2 linked regions of the Notamacropus eugenii genome follow. The protein of the gene in region 1 purifies or fractionates together with the protein of each later gene. This does not show direct contact. Links are inferred from orthologs where the notes say so. Each region holds a gene or a part of one and is shown in the gene's direction. Other genes may lie near its edges. The genes, in order: PPIE and AQR.

Region 1 (15,349 bases):
CGAGGTCTCCCTACTACACCTCAGCGAGTGGGTAAGTAAATATATGTCATTAAGTGAAGGATGGGTGCTTGGATGCAGACATCAGTGATTCCCCATTTTGTAGAGGCTAGAAAAAGTCCAGGTCCAGCTGCTCTGATCTCCAACCTAGCCCTCTCGCCACTTTCAGAAAGGACTTGCTTCCTTCTATTTTAAAAGTATTTTTTATTTTGTTTCCCAATTACATGTACAATTTTTTTTTTTTAAGATTTTGATTTCCAGATTCTCTCCTTCCTCATCCCTCTTTGAGAAGTCAAGCAGTTTGACTTCATTGGTACACGTGAGGTCATGCAAAACATTTCTGCAAAAATGCAAAAGAAAACACAGAAAAAGAAAAATAAATGAAATTAATGAAAAAAAGTAAGCTTCAGTCTGCCCTTGGAGTTCATCCATTCTCTCTGGAGGTGGAGAGCATTTTTCATCATGGGTCATTGATCAGAGAAGCTAAGTCTTTCACACTTGATCATTGTGCAGTATTGCTGGTACTATGTGTGGTGTCAGATTTCCTCATCATGTAAATGGAAGGATCTGAGGTGTCTTGTGGCGTGAGGTCTTAGAGCCTGTGAGTTTGTTGTAGAGACTTTACAGCGAGGGCCCTGTCTAGCTCCAGAGCCACAGTCCTAAGTTGTTGAGGCTTAGGTTTTACTGTTAAATTTCCTTAAGAAAATATCAGCTATATAAAAATAATGAGATTTTGTTTCCTAGCACCTTTGTCAGAAGCACTTTGGTATTCATTGTCTCTTTGATCTTTTAAATCTGGATTTGGTTGTAATGGAAAATACGTGGGATTTTAAGTCACAACCTGGTCTTTAAAAAATCTCTGCTCTGATAAGCTTTGCAGTGTGGGTGTTCCTTGTGCTTCTCTGCTCTTTCCCCTCCTCCCGCACTGACAGGAGGGATGAAATCATGCCCCGGGGCTGAATCAAGTCCTAGTTCAGCTTTGGGTAGGGTTAAGTACTAAGCTGGGCTTTTCTGAAATGGAGCCAAGTGTATATATCAGGCTAAATATAGACTCAAAATAATTGTAAGTGGCTTCAAAAAGGATCTAGTTTTCTCTTTTGGTGCTGAGGGTAGTGAAGGATCCATGAGTGTTTTCTGTGTAATCCTTACATGTAATTGAGTTTACAAAAGAATCCTTGATCCATGTGGTACAGGTCAGCAAAGGCTTATGGGCAGCTCAACCACCCTTCATGTTAGTATTGAGTTTCTTGGTTCTTTGCTGAAGCTGAACATATTTTTGGTGCTTTCTTTTTAGGGGTGCCCTCTGCTGTGCAAAATTTATCTCCTAGACCCTCTGTAGCTACCCCTGCACCTAGAGCTGTTCCTCCTTACAAATATGCTGCAAATGTCCGAAGCCCCCATCCAGCTATCCCGCCTTTGCAGGTAATAGGGAAGCCTCTGTGCTGAAGTTAACTGGAGGGGTCTCTAGTGCATGTTGAGAGGGATGTGAAAAGTGACCTGGACTCTTTAACTCTTGACCCACAGACACCTCAGCCAGCAGTCCACGTGCAAGGCCAGGAACCCCTGACGGCTTCCATGCTGGCCGCTGCTCCTCCCCAGGAACAGAAACAGATGCTGGGTAAGTAAGGCATTCGTTGCTGGGGTGGGGTCGAGGCGGTTCTCTGCAGAACTGGGTCTTTGCAGGGAGCCAGGCTGACCTAAGCGTGTGTTAAATTTCTTTTGTAGGAGAGCGTTTGTTTCCATTAATTCAAACCATGCACAATAATTTAGCGGGGAAGATTACAGGTATGCTGCTAGAGATTGATAATTCAGAACTGCTGCACATGCTAGAGTCTCCAGAATCCCTCCGGTCAAAGGTAAGGCTGCTTGGTTTCATGGAAGGGCATTATTAGAATTAGCAAAGGGGCAGCTTATTTGCTTTCTGCATAATGAAACATAGCCTCGTTTAAAGGAAGAAGACCCAAGTGTGAATTGCTGCCCTGCTGCTATTCCGAACACTTGGGGGCTGTTTTCTCATCTGTGAAATGAAGTGGTTGGAAAAAGATGGGGAACCTTGTCCTGTGAACAGAGTAGCTTCAAAATGGATTAAGTTTGGGGAACCCCATGTACATGTAACACAGCACCCTGAGGGGAGAAGGGCTGTACTCCTCCATCACCCACTGGCATTCTCAACACTTGGGCATTTTTTTTGCTCTATGTCTGCTCAGTAAATAAACGAGAGGGATAGGGGGAAACTAGGGTCCCCCCAAGAGTGGAAGGGCAGCCTTCACAGACACTCCAGGCCCTTCCCATTCTGCCACGGCCCTTACTCTCCTCTGCTGGCATGGCACTGCATCATCTCCAAGGTCTGAAGTGTCTGATTGGTCTCCTGATCAAACTCTTCTTTTTCCTCTGACTTACTTGTCTTTAGTATCCAGCATGATGTGCCCTCCTTCCCTTTTGAGCTTAGACTCCAGCCAATGTGACATGCTCTTTTCTGAATCACCTTATTTTTCTCATCCTAGGCTCACCGCCCCCCTCCCCCCCCCCCTTTGTTACTCTTACCAGCTGAGGCCAGTGCAAATAAACACAAAGCCCTTCCCCACCAACCTCTATCCCACTGGGTTTTTGTGTTTTTTTTTGTTTTTAAATTTATTTTTATTTATTTATTTTTAATTCCCACTGGTCTTTATAACTTCATTTCGCCCTGACCTCTCAGCCATTTTAACATCTCATCAGCTGCCTTTGTGCATTTGCACAGGATACCCCACCCCCATGAGGAACAAATGAACAAACCCTCCTTCAAGGCTCACTTAAGTGTTAGACCTCCTGGAAATACCTCAAATTAGGTTAATTTCCTTAATTAACTCCACATTGAGTTCCTTGAGGAGTAGAACTATGTATTTGTTTTCAATTTGTATCTTTAATTGAGCACACTGTGTCTTGTGCCTAATAGGTGCTTCTTTAAAAACATCATGTTGAATAGGATTAGTTGAACTTAATGATTTAGCTTTGAATGAATGTATCTGGGCCTCTAAGCTGGAGCTGTGGCTTGTGCCATATTTAATGGGGACATTTGTGGGGATTATGGAAAAGTAAATGGAAAGGGCCTCCAGGGGAGGGACTGGTGGTATTTTCCTCCATGCCCTGCACATAGAACACCTAATTGAATGAATGATTGATCACCTGGTCCAGGTGGAGGAAGCAGTTGCAGTGTTACAAGCTCACCATGCCAAGAAGGAAGCTGCTCAGAAGGTGGCCGTGGTCGCTGCTACCTCTTAAACCAGAAAACTGGTAAATGGATTTCCGTTAGAAAATATTTTGTATCCTATTGGTCCCCAATTAGGGAAACCCAGGCAAGCCTTCCTCCAACCCTTTGCTTTCAAATTCTTCTTAGATATATGTGGGTAGGTTAGAAGTATGTGAGCTTTGTTGATGACTCTTTGCTTTGGAGGCTTTAAGGGTACGGAGAAAAGTGAAGACAATTGTTGCTAGGACCAAAACTGATGAAAGAGTTGGCCAGCTCCCTATACAAATAATTCAGTGGGAGGGCAGTTTTGGTTCTTGGAGCTGAAAGATCTGGCTTTGAATCCCTAGATCTTAAAATATGTATGTAATGATAAAAGGACAGGGACTTGACTTTGGACAAACTTCTCTTCTGGACTTCAGTTTCCTCATTTGTCAAAGAGAAAAGGAATGGATTTTGAGACTGGAAATAAGTTTTGCATGAATACACATGTGATACAATGTATCAATTATCTTCTTAGTGAAGGAGGGGGGAGAATTTGGAACTCAGTTTTTAAAATGAATTTTGAAAACTGTTTTTACATGTAGTTGGGAAAAAATAAAATACTAAATTTAGAATTTTTTTTTACTAAACTGAATGGTCTCTGAGGAATCCTTTCTTTCTTTGCAGGATACTCTGAAGTGAAATAGCCCCTTTATTAGATGTTCGTTCACTCAACATGTGGAGACTTCTTCAGTTACTACAGACTGAACAAGACATGGCAGAAGAAGCTGCTGCCATTCTGGAGATTTTTTCTTTTGAAAAAATCAACTTGAAAGGTCAATTCTTAAAACCCTAAGAAGTTTTCCAGTGGTCAAAATGGGCAGGTTTCTTGTGTGTTGCCTGGACCCTGTTAATCTTTAATTTAATTTTATTTAATTTTTCTCTTCTAAAAAAGCTTTTCTGACAGTATTTTTGTTTTGGTTTTATCAGGAATTGGTTTTATTTGACGTATCCAATTTACAGAGTCTGGAAAAGTGTTTCTCAATAAAGAAGTAAAACCTTCATAAATTGCCTCTTTATTTTTATTCCCATATTTTCAAACTCTACTGGAGTTTATTTGACTTATGTCAAAAATAAGTCCAAGTTTTCACTGGAAGGAGTCTTAGGAACACAAATAAGTCAGAATGGAATTGCACAGATAGTTTGTTATTCCTTGTTTGTTCTGGTTTTCCAAGCAGTTTGCTATTTCCTAGGTAATGAGGAGGACTGTTTGGGGTTGTCATTAAATTGACATGTTAAAATATGATCCTGTCACACTTGAACTGTCACATTAGAACCCAAAAGCTCCTCATAAATAGGAAATGTTTATATTGGCTTCAGTTATGTACAATGAATAGTTTTTTACCAAGTTTCAAGCCAAGACTGGACTTAAATGCTTGCATGGGGAACTTCAAAGAACGTTTCAGGGGTCAGAAAACGAATTTTTATTTAGAAAGTGGCATTGCTTTTGGATATTATTGAAGTAGTGCCACAGGGTCATCTGAACTATAGCTTCCTTTAATAGCAAACTTTATAGTATGCTTTTTATTCAGTTTAATACATAATCCATTCCAAAAGGCCAGCCTAGTGACCATCTGGAAGTAGAGGGGATCTGGAGTCTGTGGTGTCACGTAGTATCTATGACCTTTTGGGGATGCGTAATCTTATCTACCTCATTTTCTAAGGATGATAGCACCTGTGCTTATAAATGTTGTACGTAGCTTTGCCTGTTGCTCCACTCTTTGCCATGTGAAGTTGGTAGTTTTGACCCAATGCCACACTATCGGAGGCATGTGCTGAGTTGGCTTTGGCAGCGCAGGCTTCATGCAACAAGTAGAGATATGAAACCTGAGTTTTAAGAGTTGGACTTTTTAAATTGTGAAATGTCATATTTTAGTACATCACAAATCTCCTTAAAGAATCAGGATTACACTAGCTCAAAAGTATTAAACTGGATGAGGTGGTGTGGTTGAGTCACAATTTCCACTGACAGGGCTGACTACCATGTCAGATGGCTTACAATTACATATTCTGTTTGCTGTGCTATCCAGCTGCCTCCTAGTAGGGACTTTAATAAATTTTGGATGACTGATCATTTGAAGTATTGGGACCTACTAAGTACTGTATGAGCAAGAACACAACTAAAGATTTTTTTACAATTTTAAGTTCCAAATTCTCATCCTCCTTCCTTTACCTATTCAAGGAAAAAAAAAACAAAACCCATTACAGTTACGTACAGTGATGCAAAACATTCCCTCAGCCTTGTCTAAAAAAACAAAATATGCCTCAATTTGCTGTTAAGTCTGTCAGCTCTGTATCATAAGCATGTTTCATCACATCTTTTGAAGCTGTAGTTGGGTAATGTATTGATCAGTGTTGTCAAAGTCAATAGTATTCCATCATATCCCCAACTGAAGAACATCCTCCTCAGTTTCTGATTCTTTTCCACCACTTGTGCTTTGATCTCTGGGATACAGACCTGGTGTTTCTGGATCAAAGTATGCAGTTTTGAGGGGGGTAGTTCCAAATTGCTTTCTAGAATGTTTGAGCTAGTTCACCACTTTACTTGCAGTGCACCTGTTTTCCCACAACCCCTTCCAGCTATGATTTTCCATTTTTGTCATCTTTGCCAATCTGGTGGGTATGAGATAGTACCTCATAGTTGTTTTCATTTACATTTCTCTAATATTAATTTAAAGCATCTATTCATGTGGTCATTTATAGCTTAGAATTCTTCTCTAAAAATTTCCTATTCATATTCCTTAATTGGAGAATGGATACCAGAAGATGTTTAGAAGCAAAAAATCCTAGAATTCTGGGGTGCATTAGCTTTTGAATCAATATGCTTAACGTTTGCCAAATACACTTATTACTAATGTATCTGTAACATTCAATTCAATTTGTCCCGTGGAGGAATTCCCACTCAGGTATTTACCTCAAGGGTAAACCATTCCTTGTTTAATAAGGGTAGTCTAGAAGGACAGGTTGAACTGTCAACAAACCATGTTTGAAGAAACCAAATGAATGAGGCCACAGCCTCTGGGAGCACTAAAAAAATTAGTCCTACAAGCTGCCTGGGAATCTACAGCTAGTAATCACTAGCTTGTCCAAAGACCAAAACTGCACATCCCCAGAAATGCGGCAAGCTGAAATGTGGCTTCTGGAGGAAAGATGCAGGAGTTCTTGAAAATCTTGAGCACCACCCACTTTGTAATGAGTGGTAGCTATTCAACTCCACAGTTCTATTGTAGCCCATCCTGGCACCGATAGCTTGCCAACCCCACGTGACCTGTACACTTGTGAATGTAAAATCCTTTGAGCCCCTCTTTAATAGTTTTAGAATTTGAAGATGTTTATTCATTAAGTCAGGGAACTGAGACTTGGGTTCAGTAGTTCAAACTGTTCCCTGGTAAGAAGTTTTTGGAATGTATGAGCTGTCTTTGGAGTTAATGGCTTCCCCTTTGCCAGAGTTTCTGAAGCTACGTTTGGGTGATCATTTGACTGGGATGTTCAAAGACGCCTCAGGTTCCTTCTAACTTTTGTAATTGTGAAGCGACACCCTTTGGTCGGATGCTACCCTTTGAGCAAGATTATTCAGTGAAGCTCTAAAACTGAAGGGCTTCAAAGTAATTGAAGAAATAATTCCCTACTAGAAAGCTTACTGATTTTCTTGGCATAGACCTTTTTCCATTTTGGTTACTTTACTCTGTATGCTTTGCAGCTCATCAGCATCCTTCCCAAATTATGGCACCCAGAACATCACTATTTCAAATGTGGTCCAACAAGAGTGGCAGAAGGGGAGGGACTGTTCCTTAAAGCTTGTCTTCATTCAGTCCAAGACTAACTTGGGTTTTCTTTCGGTCATCTCATACTGCGGATTCATTGCACTTTAGCTCACCCAAACTCACAGGTCTTTTTGTCAGATAAACCAATCAGAATTCTAGAGTTGGAAGAGTTCTCACTGTTTCTCTCTAGTCTTCATAATCAACATTTTGACAAATGGACATCTAGCATTACTAATCTAACCAAGCCTGTCCTATTGTACTTGTGAAGTTGGTTCTTTTAACCCAAATAAAGTAAGACTTTACTTTCATCTGTTTTAGATTAGGCCAATGTTTTACCTCATCAAGATCATTTTGCATCCTGAACTTCAATCAATGTTACCCCACCCACCTTTGTATGAGTTGCAGATCTGGTTTGTGTAACTTTTTTAAAGATTGTTTTTATTGGCTGGATGTGTTAAATTCCAGAATCTAATTATTAATGCCTAGTGATTTCTACTTTAGGATGGATTTAAACTAGATAGGACAAATAAAGCCGTAGATGTGTCTATATGTTTATACATCCTTAAAAAATAACTTCACTCTAATGAAAAAAAAGCTGATCCTTCCCATCCCACCAGCCTTCTTCTCTATAAATGAGGGGGTAAGGTGTCTTCTCAATATCTTTGCTTTTTATTAAGATCACCGATAAAAATGTTAAATATCACAGGGCCAAGCACAGATTCCTGGGACCCTGTACCAAACAGTGCCCTTCAAGTTGAGTCCAACCAGTTCCAAATCCAACAAATTAGCATTATGGAGCCCCATCATTTCCACAAGAATCCTATTAAATAACTCTCAGAAGCTCTGCGAAAATCTGGGTAAACCACAGAGCATTCTTCTCATTTATCTTGGAGCCTGTCAAAACCCATCACAAGGCAGGCCAGCTCTCTCTGTGATCATCTCTCTAGATCCTCCTCTAGATCTTCGACCAAAATTAAACCAGCCTCACTGGCCTGCACTGTCAGATCCTTTCCTCCCTTTTTAAAATATGGGGACACTTTGCCCCTCTCTGGCCCCAGAGGACCAGCCTCCCAGGTCACGGAAGCCAGTCCTGAGAGATGCCCGCTGGCACTGCCCCTCCTGTGGGTGAGGGGAGCTGAAAGATTGCTTGTGACTGCCCGAGTCCTTCTCAAGCACTCAGGAGGAACTTCAGTGCCCACAGTGGCAGCGCCGGGCGCCATCCGCCTCCAGTGCCCGCCCCCCCCTTTCCTCCGATGTGCCAAGAACCACAAGGAGAACAAAAGGCCCGCTAGCCCCCCTTTTAGCTCTGGTGTGCGACCCCCCGGGGTGTTCCGGCCAGACACTGGAGGGGTCGGCCATTCCCTTCCCCAGCGCATTTTACAGATGAGGAAACTGAGGCAAACAGGGTGAGACGCCGCAGCGAGGACGTGTCGGAGGCGGGACTGGACCCTCCGGACCCGACTCCGGGACAGTGGTCGTCCCCTCCCCCAACACGCGTTTTCATCTTCGGTGGAATTCCCGCGTTGCTAGACGGGCCAAGCGGGCCGGCCGTTCCCTCACGCAAGCCCAGGACATGACGTCAGAGCGCACAACGTCCCGGGGCCCCGCCCAGAGGCCGCCCCCCGGGCACCGCGGCCGGGTCATTGGCGAGTGCCCTACAACGTGGGCTTCTGGTGGGCACGCATTAAAAAACCACTCTCTCAAGTGAGTAGCTAAGCGCCACGGCAAACATCTAAGGCCGCCCATTCACTCCTTTCTCTTCCACTCCAATCTCCTCAAAGAAAAGCGCGATTGGTGACGCCACGTCGGCCCCAGGCTGCGCCTGCGCACAAAGCCTCCTCTTAGCTCGGCCAGCCTATGGCTGCGGCGGGACTCCGAGGAACGCAACGCCCTCTGCTACTGGGCGTGGGCGGAAATAGGGGCGGAGGGAGTCGTCGACTTCCGCCTCGTAGCCCGACGCAAGATGGCCGCCACCAAGCGGGTCCTATATGTAGGTGAGTGGAATTTCACCGCACTGGGTGGGGGCAGAGGTCGAGGTTCCAGCAGGAGTGGTTTTCTACCTGGCCTAGGGATGCTGGGCCGGTGAGGAGAGTCTGGAGGGAGGCCTTGGCCCTCAGGCCTGGTAGGACAAGGGAGAGATTGTGCGGGGCTAGCTATCGCGAGACTTGGCTGACAGCTCGGGGGTGGGACCCAGCTCAGTTTGTGCTGGGGGCGGGGCGAGTGATTGGAGGCGGGGCTGAGGGGCGGGGCGCGCTCTGCGCTCCGTGGTTGGGTGCTGAAGGGGTCACGCGGTTCAGTTGTGTAAGCGTTCTTTTACTTGTAGGTTACCTTTGCCTGCTGGTGTATCCCCCTGCAGGAAGTAGCCTTCAAACTGGCGATTAATAAATGCTGCCTGTGGCACTGGGGATGGGGGCTGGACCTGTAATTTCCGTGGTCCAGGGTACTCCCGGGTGAGGACACGCCCCTCACCTGTAGGCAGGCAAAAGGTGTCACCCTGGAGCCCGCAGCGCAGCCTGCACCATTTATTAAATGCCTGTTGTGTGCCAAACCCCTACTAAGTGTTGGGGACCTAAAAGACGGTTGTCCCAGCTGCAAGGGAGTCTGAGGACACGGGTCCGAGTATTCCTGACCCCACTGGGGGTTTTCTTGGCAAAGATCTTGGAGTGGTTTGCCATTTCCCTTTCCAGCTCATTTTACAGATGGGGAAACTGAGGGAGGCAGAATGAAGTGACTTGACCAGGCCAGATTTGAACTCAGATCTCCCTAACTCCAGACCTGGCCCTCTCTCCGCTCTGCTGCCTAGCTGAGAAGGGAACATAGTAGACATTAATAGAGTGACCGAATGCTTGTTCACCAAGGAACTTCCCCAGCCTTTTTTAAAAATTTTATATTTTTTTACATTTATTTATTTTTAGTTTTCAACATTCACTTTCATAAATTTTAAATTTGTTCCCCTCCTTCCTCCCTCCTCTCCTCGAGACAGCATGCTGCATATATATTCCTATTAAGCATATTTTCACATTAGTCATGTTGTATAGAAGAATTAGATGAATGGGAGGCACTGATGAGGGCTGGAAGGGGGCAGTGAGACCCTTACAAAGACCAGGGTACCAGGGGCAGGTCACCTGGAAGGAATCCATGCATGGTCTCAAGCCTTCTTGAGGTCAAAGTAAAGATTTATTACACTTCTCAGTGGCCAAGAATTCTTAAGGAACCTGTGATTTGAGTGGAGTACAGTTAAAGTTTATAGAGGATATTTTATTGTAAAACATGTGCCAAGTGTGAGGACTAGGTGATTCAGGGCAGGATTAGGGAGTGGTTAAGGGGTGATTCGTTCTTAAAGGAACATGCACTTTCAGGGTCGACTGTGCAGATATTTTACCCAGAGTCCATTGGGAAATAACCCAAGAGGGGTGCTACATGGAGGTGTGGTTTTAGGCCTGAAACATCACCAAGTCAACTGAGGGTCGGGACTGACTCAGGAATGCCAGGCTGCTCTCATCAGTGTCTTGTTAGACAAGATAAATGTAATGGAGTATACGTATGTCTAAGTCTAGGACACATATGATTGGTCAGTGAGTAGAAAACATCGTTACGACCCAGTGCACAGTCCATTCAGCCAGTACACAGCTGGTTCAGACTAATAAATTCTATTGGTGCAGCTGGCTGCTGTATCAGGAAGGGAGATACAAGTTTTGCTAGGCCAGGCTGTGTCCTTGGGCTGGGGAGAAACTGCGTGAGATTGTTTTGAGGATAGGGAGAAATGTGATTTTTAGAGAGATGTTATTTTAAAGTTGGGGTTCAAGCTCAGGCACCCAAGCACCTTATCAGAACCATGAGAAAGAAAGAAAATAGTCTGCTTCACTCTGCATTCAGACTCCATAGTTCTTTCCCTGGATGCAGATGGCTTTCTCCACCATGAGAAGGACCTCCCCTGTGAAGGACAACATTGCAAATCCCTGCTTGCTTTCCAGTTTCTCTCCCCTTCACTGGGACCTGTTTAGCTCAGACTAGACTTTCTAAGGAATCCGTCTGACCCTGTCATTTTTGTGCTTAAAACCCTTCCCTGGGCAGGCATTTTCAGAAGCCCCTTCCCATTGTGCTGCGCTGCCCTGAGGATTACAGAACACAAAAGGTAAACAGTCCCTGTTCTCCCAGGAGCGTACAGTCTGCCCAAGGAGACAGCATGTACATATATAAGTACATGCAAAATATGACACGGCAGGGAAAGGTGTAGTGCAGAAGGTGGTCCGTGAGCTGAACTGTGAAGGAATCAGGGATTTTGATAGAAGGGGGGAGTTGGTGATTTCCAGGCATGTGCAAAGGCATGGAGATGGGAGATCTAGCTGGATGATCCTGAGCAAGTCACTTGTTTGCCTCATTTTCCTCAAATGAAAAAATGGGGAATATAATAGCCCCTACCTTCCAAGATTGTGGTGAGGATCAAATGAGATAATGATTGTAAAGTGCTTACCAAGTGCCTGAGACAGAGTAAGTGATAAATAAGTGTTAGCTGTTGTTATTGCATACACGTAGGGCGTAGCCTGTCAGGTGCATCAAGCACATTACTGGCACACAGTGTCATGGATTTAGAGCTGTTAGCTCTAAGGGACACTGTAGGTCACTTGGTGCAAGCCCATCCACTTAGACTTTGAGTTGGACTCTTGTCCCTAACCATAGGGCTGGAGCATACATGGAAGAGAATTGAAAAGGATGCCTTTGCTTCATTTGTAGGGGGCCTTGCAGAGGAGGTGGATGAGAAGGTCCTTCATGCTGCTTTTATCCCTTTTGGAGACATCACAGACATTCAGATACCGCTGGATTATGAAACAGGTGAACATGTTTATTACTTCTTTTTCTTTATCTTAGGGAGAAGAGTTCAGAAGTATCAAAGGAAAACTACACTCTGACTTGTTGTAACATGGGGGGAACAGCTGTGCCTTGACTGAAGAACCGGGTTCTGGGAACCATCAGATCAGTGGTATGGTAGGGAGGGCACTGAACTGAGGTTTGGGAAGACCAGGGTTCATATCCCATCTCATATATTTAAGAGCTGTGTCATTCTGGCTAAATCCTTCCATCTCTGTGAGCTTCAGTTTCCTTATCTGTAAAATGACGATAATATTTGCACCAGCCTCACAAGGTTGTTGTAAAGTTCATATAGAATAAGGTATGTAAAGTGCTTTGCTGGTCTTAAGCCCTTGTATTAATGGGATCTCTTACACTTGGGCCCAGTGGGATGACCAGCTGTTCTCCATGCACATCATCCTGTCTCCCAACTCCGTGCCTTTGTGCAGGCTCTCCTTCTTAGAGGTCAGGGACTATTGAGTTTTTTTTTTTACTTTGTATGCCAAGCAGCTCGCATGGGAATTGCATCAAAGTGAGTAAATATTAACTTTATCGACAGCTTATGGGATTGGGGAGGAGTCTGTCTTGGCCTTTGAGCCATTTTTATCATATTTGACTTATTCCCTTGAAACTGAAAGCTTTGTAAGCTACTAACACCGTCAGTGGGTCTCCATTCAGTGTGCCTGGTTAACCCAACCTCCCCAGCAGTGTGGCGCAGCAGGACCAGTGGCCACTGGGAGGCAGGGACCCAATAACCAGCACTGACGGGTGGCCCCACCAGTCCAGCCAAGTGAATTTCCATAATTTTCCCTTCTCCTCCAAAGGTGCCGGCTGTTATCATGCCATGATAGTAATGTTATATTATTGTAGGAGATTCCTCATAATTCTATAGTGCTTGATATTTTATAGAGTCCTTCCGTCACAACAGCTTTTTGAGAGTATGGAATGTAAAGGTTATTATTCCTGTTTTCTTCATAAAGAACAGGCAGCTCAGGGAGTTAGAGAAAGGATTTCCCCAAGCTCACACAACCGGTGTCAGAGCCGAGAACCGACCTGAGGCCTTCTCACGCCTTCATACCACACTGCTCTTTGTCATCCAAGTGTGTATGTGGCTTTGTTCTCTAGTTGCCGCATGTGTCTGGCCTTTCCAATCAAATTAGGCCCATTTCCACATCAAGGAACATGCTCTAGCTTGCTTCCCATTGTGCTGGGTGGTACACCAGAGGCATGGAAATATATTTGTTGAATGAATAATCAATAGTTGATTGAATTGTGGTCTGTTGCCCAGGCAGCTTTGTAAGCAAAGGTTAGCAGAACTTATTCATAGCCAGTTATGTTTAAAATTCTGATGTCATCAGACAGAACTTATTCATAGCCAGTTATGTTTAAAATTCTGATGTCATCAGACATGTTAACACATATTTTCATTTAGATAGAGCTACTCTTCCTGTGCCATCTTCTCCCAAGGTTTCATCACAGTATGCAGCGGACCACAAGTTCTGGCAGGCCCTGCCAGTCTGGGAAGGCTGGGAGGGTGGCCTTGAGAACTCATCCATAAGATGCTGGCCACCAGGTTTGTAGCACTTTTTGGCTGACCAGCTCCAACATTTGTATACTAAGCATTGTGATCTACCCCAGTATACCTTAATCAAGTCACAGAGCTGTTGATACATTAAAGCAAGATAGTGGCTGCATTTCTAAGATGTTGTTCGTTCTTGCTGAGTCCAGGCTAAAACATGAAAAGTTCACGGATCTCCTCATCAGTTCCCAAATGGGCTAGAGAGTAGCGTCAGAAAGAAATCCTTCCTGATATAGATTTTATCAGTTTCTTGTTTTTTTTTCCCATGAACTCCATTGGTAGCAATGCATCCTGTCATGAAGTTATATAATCTAACTGCTTCTTTCTGTATTCTCTCTCAGAAAAACATCGAGGATTTGCATTTGTTGAATTTGAGTTGGCAGAGGTGAGAAACATACAAGTTTTTTGGTTTTTGCATTATCTTCATTTCCATATGTATTCTCCCTTATCCTCTGCCCATAACCTTTTTAGGAAGAAAAAAGCAAAACAGTTCAGCAAAACTGACCAATACATTTTCTGAACCTGGTAGGATATGCAGTGTTTCATACCCATAGTCCTCCACCTCTGCAAAGAAGGAGTTAGGTGGCTTTGCTCCTTCCTTCTTTGGGGACGAGCTTAGAAATTAGAATTGCACAATATGATTTGGGGGGGGTTTGAGTGGGCATTCTTTGCATTTCAGCGGTTGTCATGATGTGCATTGTTCTCCCATTTCTGGTTGCTTTGCTTTATGAGGTTCATTGGAGTTTGCTGTGATTCTCTCTGGACTTGGTACTAAGCCTCATTCTTGTGTCACACTCTGTGTAGTTGCTCCTCAGTTGATGGGCATCTGCCTGAGAAGCACACTGTCTTAAACAGTTTTGAAAGCTTTGGTTTCCCTTCTTTTGAGTTTTACTACAAAATGATCCATTCTTCCTTGGGGCCACTCCTTGGACTGTGTTCATACAAAGGAAGGTTTTTTGGTGGAGATCCCAGTGAAATGTGTGCTAGCTTTCAGGGAGAACTTTTTTCATTTCAGGTAGCCTTGATTAAGCACCCTCTCTATTCAGGACACTACTCCAAGGGCTGGGGATACCAGGACAAAATCAAAAACAAAAACTTGTCTACCCTCAAGGAGCTCACATTTTCCTGGAGACTATATACTAGACATGCAAATAAACAAAGAATATACATCTGTTTTGTATAAAGAACATACAAAGTAATTCATAGCAGTTTAGCAGGGAGAGGATGCTAATAATGGGCGGTGGCATGTAAGAAGCTGGGCCAGGAAGGGCCTGGAGTAGGACGTGGTTCTGGTCTGTGCTTTGAAGGAGCCTTCTGGTAGGTGGCAGGGGGGAGGGAGTGTATTCCAGACATAGGAGAATCCATGTCCAAAGGCATGAGATAGGATAGTATGTGGGAAGCAGCCAACAGAGAATGAAAGGGGGTCACAATTAAGGCTTGCATGGGAGGTGTGAGCCGGAAAGGTCATGAAGACATGTGGATGGAGTATTGGCTGCTGGTTGGGCACAGGGGCTGAGGAAGCCTTCGTGGCTGTAAATTCCCAAAGTTGGAAGAGTGGCAGGGATGTCCTTGGAAATGGGGATGTTTAGAGGAGGCATGGGTTTGGGATGGTGATGTAGGGAGTTCTGTTTTATACATGCTGATTTTGGGGTATTTACCAGATACCCTGATGGTGATGTCTAGCAGACAGTTAGTAAGAGGGATAGTAGTTCAGGGGAGAAATTAGGAGTAGATAATATAGATTTTAGAAGTCATCTGTTTAGAGGTAATAATTGAACTCACAGGCATGTTGACATCACCCAGAAAAAGGAGAGGGCCCAGGACAGAGTCTGGCCCACCCTGGAAAGAGGCTTGCTTAGATGATTACACAATGGAATGGTTAAGGCTGTTTTT
Region 2 (15,034 bases), on another chromosome or scaffold:
ACTTGGGTGACTTGAAGGGTAGTGCTGCCCTTTAGAGAAACAGGGAAGTTAGGAAGAGAAAGGGATGAACTTATTGGAATAGATGAGCTATAATTTGCCCTTACTGAGTTTGAGATGCCTGTGAGTCAGTCATCCAGTTGGAAATGTCCCATAGAGAGTTGCTCATATGGGATAGAATGATTTTGGCATTGTTAGACTTCAGAATGGCAGCTCTGTCATGAGCAATGGATTCTGAGATCTCAAAATACCTGACAGAAATGATCCCCTAAAGAGAGAAAAATCTGTATTTTTGACAATCCTGCTATATTGCCACAGTGGATGCTCTGAACTTCGAATATTGTTCTGTCTCCTTTTTCCCCTCCAGTGACACACTTATTCAATAATACAATACTGTCATGGTGGTTGGTCATAGGAGGAAGACTCCATTTTTCTAACTTAAATGTACTTGAGGGAAAAAGGCATAAGAACAATGCCTGCTAACCATGTCCCTTCTCTTATAATAACATATTTGTATAATGCTTTATGCTTTTTAGACCAATTTTTAATTAGAAATATTAAATACTGATAACAACTGTACTTGCTTAGTAGCTGTTTACTTTAAATTAATTCACTTTATGCAAAAAAGGTCTATTCTTTCAAGTCCCCTTGAGAATTCTTTGTCCCTGCATTATCATTTACTTTCCCTCATAGGATTAAAGTCAGTACTTGACTCTTCTGTTTCTGATTTTTTGGATTTGTATTATCTCATAAGGGTCTTAAGATCAGAGATCATAGGCTTATATATTTGGGCTAGAAGGAACCTTAAAGGTCCTCTTGTCCAATTCCCTCATTTTAAAATGAGGGAAGTGGAGCCAAGATGGCAGAGTAGAAGCACAGATCTGCTTAAGTACTGCCCCCAAAATCCTTAAAATACCTATAAAAATGACTCTAAACAAATTCTAGAGCAGCAGAAGAAACAAAATGACAGAGTGAAATGGATTTCCAGCTCAAGACAGCCTGGAAGGCTGACTGGAAGGGTCTACTGCACCAGTCTCATAGCAGAGCAGAGCCCAGCGTTGGCTGTGTCAGCACAGATGGGACTGGACCAGGCTTCAGGGCACTGAATAATGGGAAACCACTGCTGTGGTTTCCAGATTTCTCAACCCATAAATGCCAAAGACAGCTTCAAAGGTCAGTGAGAAAGCTCTTTCACCTGGGTAAGAGGGGAGGTTAGTCAGGCCCGGGCCTTGGCTCCAGGGCAGCATCAGCATCCACTTTTGGAGCTCTCAGCCTACAGACTGTGAGGGAATCAAGCAGTTGATCTGGGTTTCAGTCCTGAGGGGCAGTTCTGGGATGAGGAAGAGTGCTAGTGTGGCAGAGCAGGTGGCAGCTGTGGAAAGGGAATCCTATTTGCAGCTCCATGACAGAAAAGAATGTTTGTGGTTGCTCACAGACCAGAGTGCAGGCCAGGAGAGGAGTAAATACTTCTCCCTTGACTATGCCACTTTGGAGGAACAGAAAATTTACAGGTCTGTAGAGATATCTCAGAGAAAAACTGCATAAAATCTCTGAAGCTTGGGGTTGTATACCCTCCACTTGACAAAGGACTCAAAAGTCCTTTGTAATTGACTGGAAAAATGTCAAAAAAGGGGGAAAAATAGGACTACTCCAAAAAAATGCTGAAGAAAATAATACTTTTAAAAAAGACTAACCCAAATGGAAAAAGAGGTCCAAAAAGTCAATGAGGAGAAGAATTCTTTAAAAAGCAGAATTGTCCAAATGGAAAAGGAGGTCCAAAAGCTCACTGAAGAAAATAATTCTTTAAAAATTAGAATGGAGCAGATGGAAGCTATGACTTTATGAAAAATCAAGAAATTATAAAACAAAACCAAAAGAATGAAAAAATGGAAGACTGTGAAATATCTAATTGGAAAAACAACTGACCTAGAAAATAGATCCAGGAGAGATAATTTAAAAATTATTGGTCTACCTGAAAACCATGATAAAAAAAAAAGAGCCCAGACATCATCTTCCAAGAAATTATCAAGGAAAACTGCCCTGATATTCGAGAACCAGAGGGTAAAATAGAAATGGAAAGAATTCACCAATCACTTCCTGAAAGAGACCCAAAAAGGAAAACCTCTAGGAATATTGTAGTCAAGTTCCAGAGTTCCCAGGTCAAGGAGAAAATATTATAAGCAGCCAGAAAGAAACAATTCAAGTGTTGTAGAAATACAATCAGGATAACATAGGATTTAGCAGCTTCTACACTAAGGGATCAGAGGGCTTGGAATATGATATTCCAGAGGTCAAAAGAGCTAGGATTAAAACCAAGACTCACTTACCCAGCAAAACTGAGTATAATACTTCAGGGGAAAAAATTGAATTTCAATGAAATAGAGGACTTCCAAGCATTGTTGTCGAAAAGACCAGCGCTGAATAGAAACATGAAAAGGTAAACAGGAAAGAGAAGGTATACAGGACTTATTAAAGTTTAACTGTTTACATTCCTACATGGAAAGATGATATTTGTAACTCACGAGACCTTTTTCAGTATTAGGGTAGTTAGAGGGAATATATAGAGGTGTGCATAGGTATGTATGTATGTATGTGTATATTATATATGTGTGTATATGTATATGAGTGTATGTGTATATGTATATATGTGTTTATATATGTGTGTTTATGTATATATGCATATACATACATATATATTATACACACACACACACACACACACACACACACACACATACACACATAGACAGAGGCTGCAGGGTGAGCTGAATATGAAGGGAGAATACCTAAAAATAAAATTTACTGTTGACTGGAATGTACTAGGAATAACGGAAAGGGATAGGTAGAATGTAACAAATCAGGTCACATAAAAAAGCCAAGAAAGAGCTTTTACAATGGAGGGGAAGAAGAAGGAGGTGAAAGGGAATGTGAGCCTTATTCTCACAGGATTTGGCTTAAAGAGGGAATAACACGCACTCAATTGGATATGGAAATCTATTTTACCCTGCAGAAACGCAAGGGGGAAGAGGATAGGGGGGGAAGATAACAGAAGGGACAGCAAATTGGGGAAAGGGCTAATCAGGAGCAAACACTATCATGGGGGGACAGGTCAAGGAAGAAAATGGAATAAATAGGGGGCAGGACAGAACAGAGGGAAATGTAGTTAGTCTTTTACAACATGACTGTTAGGGAAGTGTTTTGCATGGCTACAATGTATGACCTATACTGAATTGCTTGCTTTCTCAAAGAGGGCGGGTAGGGAGGGAGGAAAGGTGAGAATGTGGAACTCAAAGCTTTAAAAATGAATGCTAAAAATTGTTTTTGCAGCAACTAGAAAATAAGATGCATAGGCAATGGGATATAGAAATCTATTTTGCCCTACAGGAAAATAGAGGGGAGGGAAATAGAAGAGGGGGTTGAAAGAAGGGAGGATAGACTGGAGGAAGGGGTGGATGGGGTACATGCTGTCCTGGGGTGGCAGGTGGAGAGAAATGGGGAGAAAATTTGGAATTCAAATTCTTGTGGAAGTGAAAGTTGAAAACTGAAAAATAAATAAATAATATTGAAAAATAAAGATGAGGAAAATGAGGCCTTGGAGAAGTTCCATTACTGCAACTTGAGCTAGCTCCTGTAGGTCTTATGTGGCAGAACCTAGTTTTAAACTTAGGTCCCTTATGTCTTCCCCATAATTGTATCTTAGTTGCTTTATAGTTTTCTATTACATTAATATGTTATTGAAGTTGTAGTGCTTGGGGGACCCCCACTCCCACCTCACAGGGCAGGTCCACTGGAAGAAGGCTACTCTAGGTTTAATGAGTGAACAAAAACACATTCATTAGGTAAAACACTAATGTTGGAGGTGGCTTTAACACCAGGACTTAAGGATCTTGGCAACTCTTTTATTTCAAGTTCAATGATGGGAAAAATGAGACACTAGCAAGTCTGAGAGAAGGTGATGGTTGGAGTAGTGGCGGTGTAAGCTGGTTTGTCTTCTCTGTTGGTTGGTTGTTGTCCTTTGTTCTTGAAGAGGACCAAAATGGCATTACCATGATAAAGTGAAGTTTCAGGGTATACAACTGTGGCTGATCAGACCAATGCAAGCTCGGAATGCTCTACCACAGATTGGGCACAGATAGTCTGCATGAACATTTGGGGTGGTTACTCCAAATTTGCACATCCTACATTTCCTTTATGCTGTTTCAATTCTGCTTTGCTCATAGAGCACAGCACCTTTTCTGATGAGGGCATGCCATGTTTAGGGGTCCTGTGGCAGCGTCTCCCAAATCACACAATCAATTCCAAAATTCTTGAGACATTGAGGGTGTCCTTGTATCGCCTCTTTTGACCACCATGTGATTGCCTGCCCCATATGAGTTCTTCATAAAATAGTCTTTCTGGGCAAGTATATGTTTTGCATTCGAACAATGTGGCCAGCCTTTCAGAGTTGCATTTTCTGAAGCATAGTTTGAATGCTTAGCAATTTAGTTTGAGTAAGGATCTCAGTGTCTGGTGCCTTATCCTGCCAGGTGATCTTCAGAATCTTCCTAAGACAGTTCGGATAGAAGTGATTCAATTTCCTGGCATGGCGCTGGTAGACTGTCCATGTTTCACAGGCATAAAACAAGGAGTGTAGGGTGTATTCAGAAAGGACCAGTACCTCTGGTGAGATGGCTGCCAAGCCTTTTTCAGGGCTGCTTTCCACCTTTGGTGTCCACCTGTTCCACCTAACACTCACCTGTGGATCCAAGAGGCTGTAACATGTGCAGTGGCCATACCCTGGTATACCGTTTCAGGAGATGGGCCAAATCAGGTTGAGGGTTATCAAGGGGTCTCAAACTCATTGGTGAGTTGGGGGATGTTTACCCCAAGCATGTGAAGACTTCCCCTGGGGGAATGGACCAATGAGAACAATTTGTTTCAAAGGCCATGAAGCCAGTTGAAGCAGGTGACGTGGAGCATTTAGACCTTGGTTACACACTGAAGATGCCAAGGTCGTCCACAGTAACCTGAACTATCACTAGTCATCTTGATTCTATCCTGCCACTGGACTGTGATGACTCTCTGTTGGTAGTTGATGGTTGAATGAATGGTGCTGGAGGGGATGGGAACAGAGGACCCAGTCTTGAAAGGGTTGCTTTTAAACATAATTTCCCCCAATAAACCTGGGTTGCACTCTCCCACAAATACATATACCAACAGTAGAAAAAGTGAACACACATAACGAGTATATATGGTTATTAACATATATGGAGAGGAATACAAATAGTTGCTGTTACACCAGCAACATCCCTAGAAAAAATTCTGGTTTTTTTCTTTCTTTAATAGCCTTCCTCTGTTTCCATTCTAGCTAGACTGAATTTCAGCTATATATAGTTGGAGCTTCTTGGGCATCAAGTTCCTCTTCCCAGCTAGATTATGCCCTCAGAGCTTAGCTTTTTCTTTGGACCCCACTTCATGGTCTAGCATCTTGGGTTTATTGCCCCAGTTTATGGTGAGGATTCCCTATACATCTTGATTTTAATCTCTGAAGCCAAGATTATACCTGGTTAATATTGATGCAAGAGTTATTAATTTAATATCTGTCAAATAGCTTAAAGGTTCAGGGTTCCCCAGTTTTCCAATTCCAAATCTATTTTCCTTCATAGATGAGTGGATGAGGTAAAGACATAGAAATAAAGCTAAACCTCGGAGGCCCTAGTAGACTTGGCTTCTCATGTCTATACAGCCTAGAAAGACTAAAAGCCTTTGACATCTTTACACAAATCATTCCTTCATTGTTGGACTTCTAAACTGCTTGCAGTTTAAATCTTTGAAAAAATATCTTTCTCTTTTTAATACTCAAAGGGTATACTCCTAACAATGGAATTAGTTAGTCAAAGGGCATCATATCTGCTGAATATTACCCAGTTGTTCTTGAAATTTATCAGCAATAAACAAATGTTTTTCTACAACCAGGCCAGCACACTTTCATTATTTTTAGTTTCTCCATTTTGATGGGTGTGAAGTGGTTCCTCCAACTTGTTTTAATTTGCACCTCTTTGATTATTGAGGTTGAGCACTTTTTTCAAGTGAGAATTAACAATTTGTATTTCCTCTTTTGAAAATAGACTGTTCATATTTTTTGACCATTTATCTATCATGGACTAGAGTTACCACTTTTTTTTCAACAGTTTCATATTTTTTTCGATGCCAGATTTTTATCTCTCATGTCTGTCATAAATATCTCCCCCAATCTGTTATTTTTCTTTTAATTACATTTTCTGCTGCACGGAATGTTTTTAAATTTTACAGCAAGCACACCTATCTTGGCCTCAAGCTTCAAGAATTTTATTTGTTGAAGAAAAAGTCTTCTTTCCATCATTCAGAGAAATAGTCCCCTTTTCTTCCATTTTTTTCTATTTAGTTTTTGTCCAGTTCAATAACCACTTTGTAATATTTTTTGTTCCAAAGCACATTTTACTTATTCTTTTTTCTTCTAAACTTAATGAGCACTAAAAAAAGAATATTTTCATATACAAGTAGAAAAGACGATTCTATGATACCATAAATCTCTTCTACTTATGGTCTCCTTCTTAAAAAGTATAAAAATTCAGTGTCACTTTCACAGTTGGCCTGCTTCTGTGTGTTTCCACTCCTAACCTCCACACTTGCATCTCTATGGTACATCTCAAACTGGATGTCCCAAGGACATCTTAAACTCACCACAACTCAAACTAAACTCATTATCCCAAAAGCTGCCATCTTCCTAACTTGTCAGTTACTGTCAAGGGTCCCACTATCCTCAAAACTGACAACCTAGGTGTCATGCTAGACATCTCTTACTCTGTCTTATCCCACACTTCCAATCTGCTCTCACTGAGCCTGCTTCCCACTGGATATTGCCTTGCTAGACGATGCTCCTCTGGACCTAAGGGTCTTGGCAACTCTCACAGTTCAAAAACCTGTTGATTTTTACCTTCATAACATTTTCATCCATGTGCTCCTGAAGAGGTTTTGGGGTGATGGTGGACCCCAAGATACCGACAGTCCAGGTTGTGCTCGAATGAATTTGACTCAAGCCTTCTTAAAGCCAAAGAAAACAAAGTTTATTAAAGATTTGCCAAACTGGGTTGCCTCTCAAGTAGCCTAAGCATTTGTAACACTTGTATTCACAAACGGGCCAGACAGAATCCCAGCTAGACAGAGTCTGAGCTGGATTGAATCTGAGAGCCTGCATGGAGGCAAGATGGAACTTAAATACAGAAAAGCGTATAGGAGGGATCTGGGGGGTGGTCTGATAGTCCAGGGTGATGGGAGGAGGGGTTTAGGAAGGGTCTTGAGGAGAAGTCCAAGGAGAGAATCCAAGGAGGGTCAAAGGCTGGAGACAGCTGGAGGCTAATCAGGAGATATCAGACTATGGAGGGTTTCGGTAGGAAGCAGGTGGGACAATCCAGAGATCTTGATAGGGGCAGTACAGGAATGAATACAGATCTTGATGAGCTTCCGGAGCCTTTCAGAACAAATGGGAAGATTAGATTTGAGTAAGAAAGGCCAGATTAAGTGGGAAGATTCAAGGGGAGCTCAAGGAGGCTCCCAGAGTCTGAACCCCATCACTCCCTTCTCCCCCGTGATACGGCTAACCACCCTGGAAGGCCTTAATCACCTAACTTAGACCATTGGAACAACTTGCCGATGGGTCTTCTTGCCACAAGTTTCTTCCCAATCCAGTCAATCTTCCACTCAGCTGCTGAAAGTGATCTTCCTAAAACCAAGGTCTAATCATGTCACCACCACCGGCCCAACTCAATAAACTATACTGACTGCCAACGACTTGAAGGATCTCTTCAGCATTCAAAGGCCTTCATAACCTGCTCCTCTCTCCCAACCTTTCCAGGTTTCTTCCGCCATCCTTCCTCGCATATACTTTCCCATCCAGTGACCCTGCTTCTCTAAAAAGACACTCCATCTTCAGGCATTTTCTGTGCCTGGAATGCTCTTCCTCCTCATCTTCACCTCTTGGCTTTCTTCAAGGGCCAACTAAAAACCAACTTTTTGCAAGAAGCCTTTCCCAGCCTCTCTTAAGGGTTGATCACTTCCAGTTCATCTCCTCTTCAGCTTTTCTGGACCTAGCTGTTTGCACGCTGTCTTCCCCACTGCACAGGAAGCACCTGGAGGACAAGGGAGGTCTCTGGCCTTTCCTTGTATCCCCAGGGCTTAGCACAGGGTCTGGCACACAGGAAATGCTTATTGACTGACTGTTTGAATGACCCCATTTTAAACGCATGAATTTGTGTCTAGGCCGCAAGATGGGGGATGAAAATCAAAGTTCTAGAATCCAGAGGCCTTGCTCTGGGAACCTTTCTGGGTCACTTCTCTCTGTCCCTCAGTCCCTTATTCTGTAAAATGGGGACGACGCAGCCTTCTCTCTGCATTACACTGAGAAAGGAGGAAATTTTATTTAAATTGGGGGGGAGGTGGGGATGAAAAAGGTTCTATTGATGTATCGCATCGCAATTTATTAGTGTTTTATTAATCACATCGATAGCACCTCAAATAAAATCTAAAGCATCTAAAACGCTTTTCGAACTTTAAAGTGCCATATACATGCTAGTATTCAAATTTTGGCTTTAAGAGCGGAGCGTCCAAGCTCTGGAACGGAATATTAACAACAACAGGTTTCATCCCGGACCCCTCCACAGAGCCTTCCGGTCCAGAGGGGCTGAGGCGGCCTACTTCCGGTTAGGTGGTTTTCCGCCGGCCTAGGCCTGAGGGAGTCAGATTCCGCCCTCCTCCCCACCTTTTACAGTCTGGAGAGTAGGAATGGTGACACCTGCCTGTCCCATCGTGTGGGTCGGGGGCGTGGGCAGAGGCTGAGGCCTACACCCTTTTCTAGGCACCACTAATGAGCTCGGAACCCGATGGAGAAAAAGCCGGAGCGTGTTTCTGCCCGGAACCTTGTCCGGGTGGCTCTCCCGCGGAGTTGCGGCTGCGCACTGAGCCTCGTTGCCGCCGCCGTCGCCGCCGCAGCCTCAGCCGCTGCTCCTGTGGGGCTTGTCGCTCTCCTTTTCCTCAGCTCCTCGCTGTCCCGACTCCAGGTGCGTGGGGTAGTGGGCAGAGTCGGTGGGGCGGGGCAAGCTCGGCACGCGTGGGGAGGCCCCTGCCCGTCTGGCCACCGGGAGAGGGACCCGCCCCGGGCGGGGGCGGGGATGGGGGGGGGGTGAGGCAGGACTCCTTCCCTTCCCCCCCTCCCCTGATGCTTTTAGTGCCCCCGCCCCCTCCTCGTCCCCGTCCGCGTCCCTGCCCCGAGCGCGTGCGTGAGTGTGTGTGCGTGACGTTCTCCACCGGCACGGGGCGGGGGCGGTGTCTCAGGCCCCCACCCCGCAGCAGCTTTCTCCCTTCCCCAGCTTGACAGCTTGACCCCTTTCTCCAGCCTCCGTAGGGATCGGAGGGAAATGCACCAGACCACGATTTAGGTAACATTGTAACTGTTTGTGTGGCAAGGCCAAGGAGGAAAGGCACCAGACCACGAGTTAGGTAACATTGTAACTGTGTGTGTGGCAAGGCCAAGGAGGAAAGGCAGGGACGGGTGGGCGGAGTCGCGAGGATGATAATAATAAATAATCATGGCTAGCATCCATCAAGCTCATTAAGGTTGGAAAAGCACTTTACAAATGTCTCATTTTGTCTTCATAACCACTCTGGGACGTAGATGTAGGAGGATAAAGCGGGTACCTACCTAGAAAAGGAAATGCACCAGACCACGAGTTAGGTAACATTGTAACTGTGTGTGTGACAAGGCCAAGGAGGAAAGGGTGGAGTTGAGATATTAACATATTAATAATAACTAAAATTTTTGAAGTGCTTTAAGGTTTGAAAAGCATTTTTCAGTTTCTCAGTTTTATTTTCACAGCAACCCAGGGAGATAATAGGTGTAGGGGGCAAAGGTAACTAGGAGGTATTGTCAGTTCTCCGAATTTTACAGGTCAAGAAATTGAGGCAGACAAAGGTTAAGTGACTTGCCCAGAGTCACACAGCTGTAAGTGCTTGACATGAGATTTGAATCCCAGTTGCTCAGACTCTTTCCACTGTGTTATGTATTTGCATCTAGCTAAGGAAAATGCCACTAGAAATTGCTCTAGGTGTCCAAAAATTACTTGAGTCTAAATTATTTGTTTTTTGATTTGATTTCAAGTCCTTCTCCACACTTATGTAGTGTTTTAAATGCAAGAATTATCCCTTAGGAGAAGCTGGGCCTACTAGAGTCTGGAAGACCTGAGTTCAAACCCAGCCACATATTTACTAGCTCTGTGACCTTGGAGAAGTCATTTAACCTTTGTTAACCTGGCACATTGTAGGCACTTAATAAATACATATTCCTTTCGCCCTGTTTTACAGATAAAAAAATCTAGACTCAGAGAGGTTAAGTGACTGACCTGATTTCATACATCCAATAGTAGATGGTCCACATTACTGTGAACTCAGGGTTTTTGACTGCCAAGACCAGTGCTGTAGGAACACATATAAATCAAGGAGTTTGAGAAGTTAACAGGTTATCTAAAGACAGCTTTGGTGTTCTTCAGGAGAATCAAGAAGTGTTTAGATAAATTTGTAGATGTTAAAAGCCAAGAATAATTTAACAAAGAAGAATCAAAGTGGTCCGGGTCATTTGATGTGAAAAATTGTTCTGATTGGGAGGAGACCTTGTTTTTCAGTTTTGGCTATGCTATTAAACTGCTTCTGTGAACTTATACCACTTATCTCTCTGGGGTCTTGGTTCTCATTATGTGAAGTGAGGGGGCCAGACCAATCATTTCCATGTCCAAAATTCTTATAAATTTTTGCCATGCTAGATACATCCCTAAATTGTCAGGACGTAAAGGACAGTTTTGCTATCCCATAAATGTGAAATTTTCTGTGTAATTTTCTGGCTGGACTTGACTTGATAAAATATGATATCTCTGATTTTTCATTTAGAATAGGAAGAACTGCAAAATTTCTTCTTTTAAGAACTATTCTCTCCAGAAAAGCTGATCACATGTTGCAGCATTTTCTGGTATATACAAGAAGGAAATTAAGTTTCATCTGAAAGGTGAACAGCCTTACAACAGCATTACAAAACTGATATATCAAACCCAGCCTCTTTGACATTCAGGAGGACTATAGGCCATCAACTGAGATTGTCTCCTGGTTCTCACTGGAAATATGAAAAGGGGTTATCCTGAGTCCTCATCCATTCATTCAGAGTGCTTTTTTTTAAAGCACCTTTTTGCAGAGTTGTAATTTATGTTGAAGGAGAAACTAAATCTAATTAAGACATAATCCAACCTTTCTTAGGGCTGATGAAGAAATAATTTTTGTTTTGAATTGTGGAGTGAGGGCCTGGAGCTCAGATGATTGGTGACTCTTGAAATGAAGAGGGTGAGGAGTGGGATTGTTAGGGGTTTACCAGCTCACTTCTGAAAAGTGGGACTTACAAAGGGTTGTGGACCAGGTGGCTTCTGAGCCCCCTTTGAGTTCTCAGTCTGAGATCCTAAGAAAGTCAGTGTGCAAACCTTCTGGGGTTCAACCAATGAGAGTTCTTAGATGTATAGGGCCAGGTACCATTGCTACACCATGAAAAAACCAGAGCATGTGTGACATCTTTGGCATGAATGTTGTAGATTTCCAACTTCTGGGTTCTGATGGTGCAACTCAGGCACTGACCATTGCAAAAAGATTTCACAGAAAGGACGCTGAAGTCAAGCAACTTTGCAAACCATTGGATTCACATTTTTAAAAACTTTTGATCACCAGAGCCAGATCATGGTACTTGTACACTCAGAGACAAGGTCTATAAACTATTTGTCCTCACTGGAAAATTAGGGCCTTGGCTATAACCTGGGCAGTTTGTTACAAAACAAATACCCTTGTAACATGGAGCATATAATTTTATAATAGTAAAAGTATGTGTATTTATCACTTTTTCTTCATATCCATTTAAGTTAAAATTGTTCCTTGATCTTACAGTGTGCGTTTCACCGCATGCCTCCCCGCCCTGGGCAGCTGTTCGCCGTTCTTACACCCTAGTCCTCTCTCGATCACTTGTATCCCATGCTCAGTGTTCACGGTGGGAATTTTGGAAGTTTACATAAGATTTTAAACTTAAGGAGAAAACCTGTAGTTTCTAGATATATCAAAAATAACAACAGGTAGTTAATTGCTTTAATATTAAAGGATTTGTGTGATGTATTATGTTGCTCCTCCTCTAGTCACTGAATTGTTTTTGTTTCTTTTTGTTTCTTTCTGTTCTTAAGCATTTTGTTTCAGTTTATAGGATAGGATAGATCATCAGGAAGAATGCAGGTCAGCTGTGACATGCTCTGGCCTTCATTAGGATTCTAGTCATTTCAGCTTAATAGGCTACTTGGTCATTTTGAATAAAGCTGCCACATTTATTTTTCTCCATTTTTCTCCCTCGCTCTAGATCAGAATTTCTTGGGAAATTATATAAATATACTTGCTCTGTTGATAAACTGCAAATAGCTCTTATGTTATTTCTAATGTAGGTAACTGAGGAGAACCAAAATGGATATGAGTCATTTTGTGTTGAATGGCTAGAACCAAAAGATAGTAGGTCATTAATGGTTCAGTGTCATCTCGGAAGGATGTCTTGGTCCTGTGCTGTCTGATGTTTTTACCAGTGTCTTGAATCAAAGCAAAAATTGCATTCTAATCGTATTTGCAGATAATCCAAAGCTGGAGGGGAAGAGGGAGTAGTTAACAAGATCTTGACAGGCTAAAATAATAGACCCAATCAAACCAGATTAAATTTGTTAGGGATAAATATAAATTCTTATGCTTTGGAGTTCAAAAAATCAATATTACAAGTACAAGTCGGGGATTAGGTAGCAGTTTGTCTTAAAGAGATCTAGAGGCTGTGTGATTCAGCAGTATGATACGAAAGCCAAGGAGGCAAATGTAATCTTAGGTCTAATGTCTGGTCTTTCAGAGGTGATGGTCCACTTGGCATCTGCCCTGGTCAGACTATCTGTAGTCTTGTGTTCTTGTTCAGTTTGCATTTCAGGAAAGACATTGACAAGCTAGAGACTTTGCAGAGGAGGGCAGCTAGCATGGTGAAGGACCTGAATTTCATTTCATATGAGTATCATTGGAAGGAATTGGCCTGGAGAAGAGAACACTTACAATGGACATTGTAGCTCTTTTCAAGTATTTGAAGGGCTATCACATAGCAGAGGGATTAGATTGGTTTTGCTTGAATGCACAGGGCAGAAGTAAGAGGAAGAAGTGGAAGTTTCAGAGAGGAAAATTTAGACTTAATATTTCCAGACAGAGCTACTATGCGCAGATGGAAATGGCTATCTCATGAGGTGGTGGTTTCCCTATTTCTGGAATTCTTGAAGAAAATGCTGGATAAAAAATTGCTGGGTATGATGGGAAGGGAATTTTTGTTAAGTAATTCTAGGTGAAAGACATGAACTTAGAAAAGACAAAGGCTCATGTTTCAAATGGCTGCTAACAAAGCATAACTACATTTCTGACCTCCTTCAGTTCAATAAGTTTTCAGTCATGTCCGTGACCCTATTTGGGATTTTCTTGGCAAAGATACTAGACGGGTTTGCCATTTCCTTTTCCCACTCATTTTACAGATTAAGAAACTGAGGCAAACAGGGTTAAGTAACTTGACCAGGGTCACACAACTAGTAAGTATCTGAAGCCAGATTGGAACCCAGCAGCATGTGTCTTTCTGACTCCAGGCCCACCTAGCTGCACCATGATTAGACTTCTTTCTCCTCTGGCAGTAATTGAAAAGGAGGGCCAGAGCAGCAGCAACTTCTCTGATTCCTTCCTCCCAAGGAGAGGTGAACATAGGGTGAGTGGAAAACTTTTTTTTGCAGTTGTGGGGACAGAATAAAATTGATTGTGGAGTCACAGGGAAAACTGCGAGAGTGTAGGACATCCGAGTGAGATGCCATCCAAAATAATAATCACAATAGTTAACATTTACATGCTGCTTTAAGGCTTGCCGAGTGCTTAATTATATTGTCTCATTTGATTCTCATAACAATCCTGAGATAAGTGCTATTACTAACCCCATTTTTATGAATGAGGAGACTGAGACCTAGATATACAAGGCAGTTCCCTCTGGGTCATACTGCTAGTGAGTGTCTGAGGTAGAGTTAGAACTAAAGTCTACCTCACTTCAAGTCCAGTACTGTACTCACCATGCCACCTGTTTATTATTGACTGACTTTAGTGTATAGTCAACTTTAGGCCCCTCTGGAGCTAATTATCCAGGTCCTTTGCTTTTCCATCTTCCTTCTCAGTCACTCCCACTACAGAGAAATAAAAGAAATTACAACTCTAACCAATCAGTTTAATTACTAGTTAGCTTCTCTGATAAGTTATTCATTCATTAATTATTTGCTAAGTGCCCATTATGTTCAAGATTCTATATTAGGGGTTAAGAACACATGGTCCCTGCCATCACTGAGCCTACTGTATATGTCTTGCATTTTTGTATCTTGTATTTATGTATCAATTTACAGTTTTCAAATAACTTTCCCATGTTGTTCCATTTGATTATAACATAACCTTGTGAAGTAAGCAGGGCAGGTGCTATTTTCCCTGTTTCACATAGGAGGAAACTGAGGCCTCGAAGTTGAAATGACTTGTGCAAGGTCACTTGGCTACTAAGAGGGAGAGCCAGAATCAAAAATATGACTTAGTGCTGTGAATCTTCCATGGTACCTCTTACTGCCTGTGGTGTTCTTCCATATACAGAAATTGTTGAATGTCAAAAAGAATGTGCTAATAGCTCATCAAAGAATTTGTTTCAGAAGAGCTGCCTTTCTCACCAGGCAGGTCATGCCTAATGGCTGCAACATATTTTGTGTAAGCATATTTTTATAGTGGTAATATTACTTTCCTGTCTCCAAAAATGTTATTTAAGTTAAAATTTTTATAAAAACTTAAATTAGAAATTATATTAATTTAATGAGAGAAACAAATCCAACTTAGTTACTTCATTCAGTACCATGGCTGTGGCCGATCTTTTCTA

What was found.
Region 2: the proteins of PPIE (region 1) and AQR purify together in Homo sapiens (affinity purification with mass spectrometry; 5 studies listed by BioGRID and IntAct, counting the BioPlex papers as one, with this or other methods). This does not show direct contact. The link is inferred for Notamacropus eugenii from reciprocal best matches to the Homo sapiens genes PPIE and AQR.

The regions. Positions count from the first base shown.
Region 1 is NC_092876.1:79,567,051-79,582,399, forward strand, and holds the start of PPIE (peptidyl-prolyl cis-trans isomerase E), read left to right. Parts: upstream 1-8,613; 5' UTR 8,614-8,992; coding exon 8,993-9,023; intron 9,024-11,763; coding exon 11,764-11,862; intron 11,863-11,898; exon of another isoform or gene 11,899-12,010; intron 12,011-13,797; coding exon 13,798-13,841; intron 13,842-15,349. Other genes in the region: PABPC4 (polyadenylate-binding protein 4), read left to right, coding at 1-31, 1,292-1,419, 1,522-1,615, 1,723-1,853, 3,172-3,258. UniProt on the Homo sapiens protein: Involved in pre-mRNA splicing as component of the spliceosome. Combines RNA-binding and PPIase activities.
Region 2 is NC_092878.1:19,789,367-19,804,400, reverse strand, and holds the start of AQR (RNA helicase aquarius), read left to right. Parts: upstream 1-8,878; coding exon 8,879-9,071; intron 9,072-13,622; exon of another isoform or gene 13,623-13,846; intron 13,847-15,034.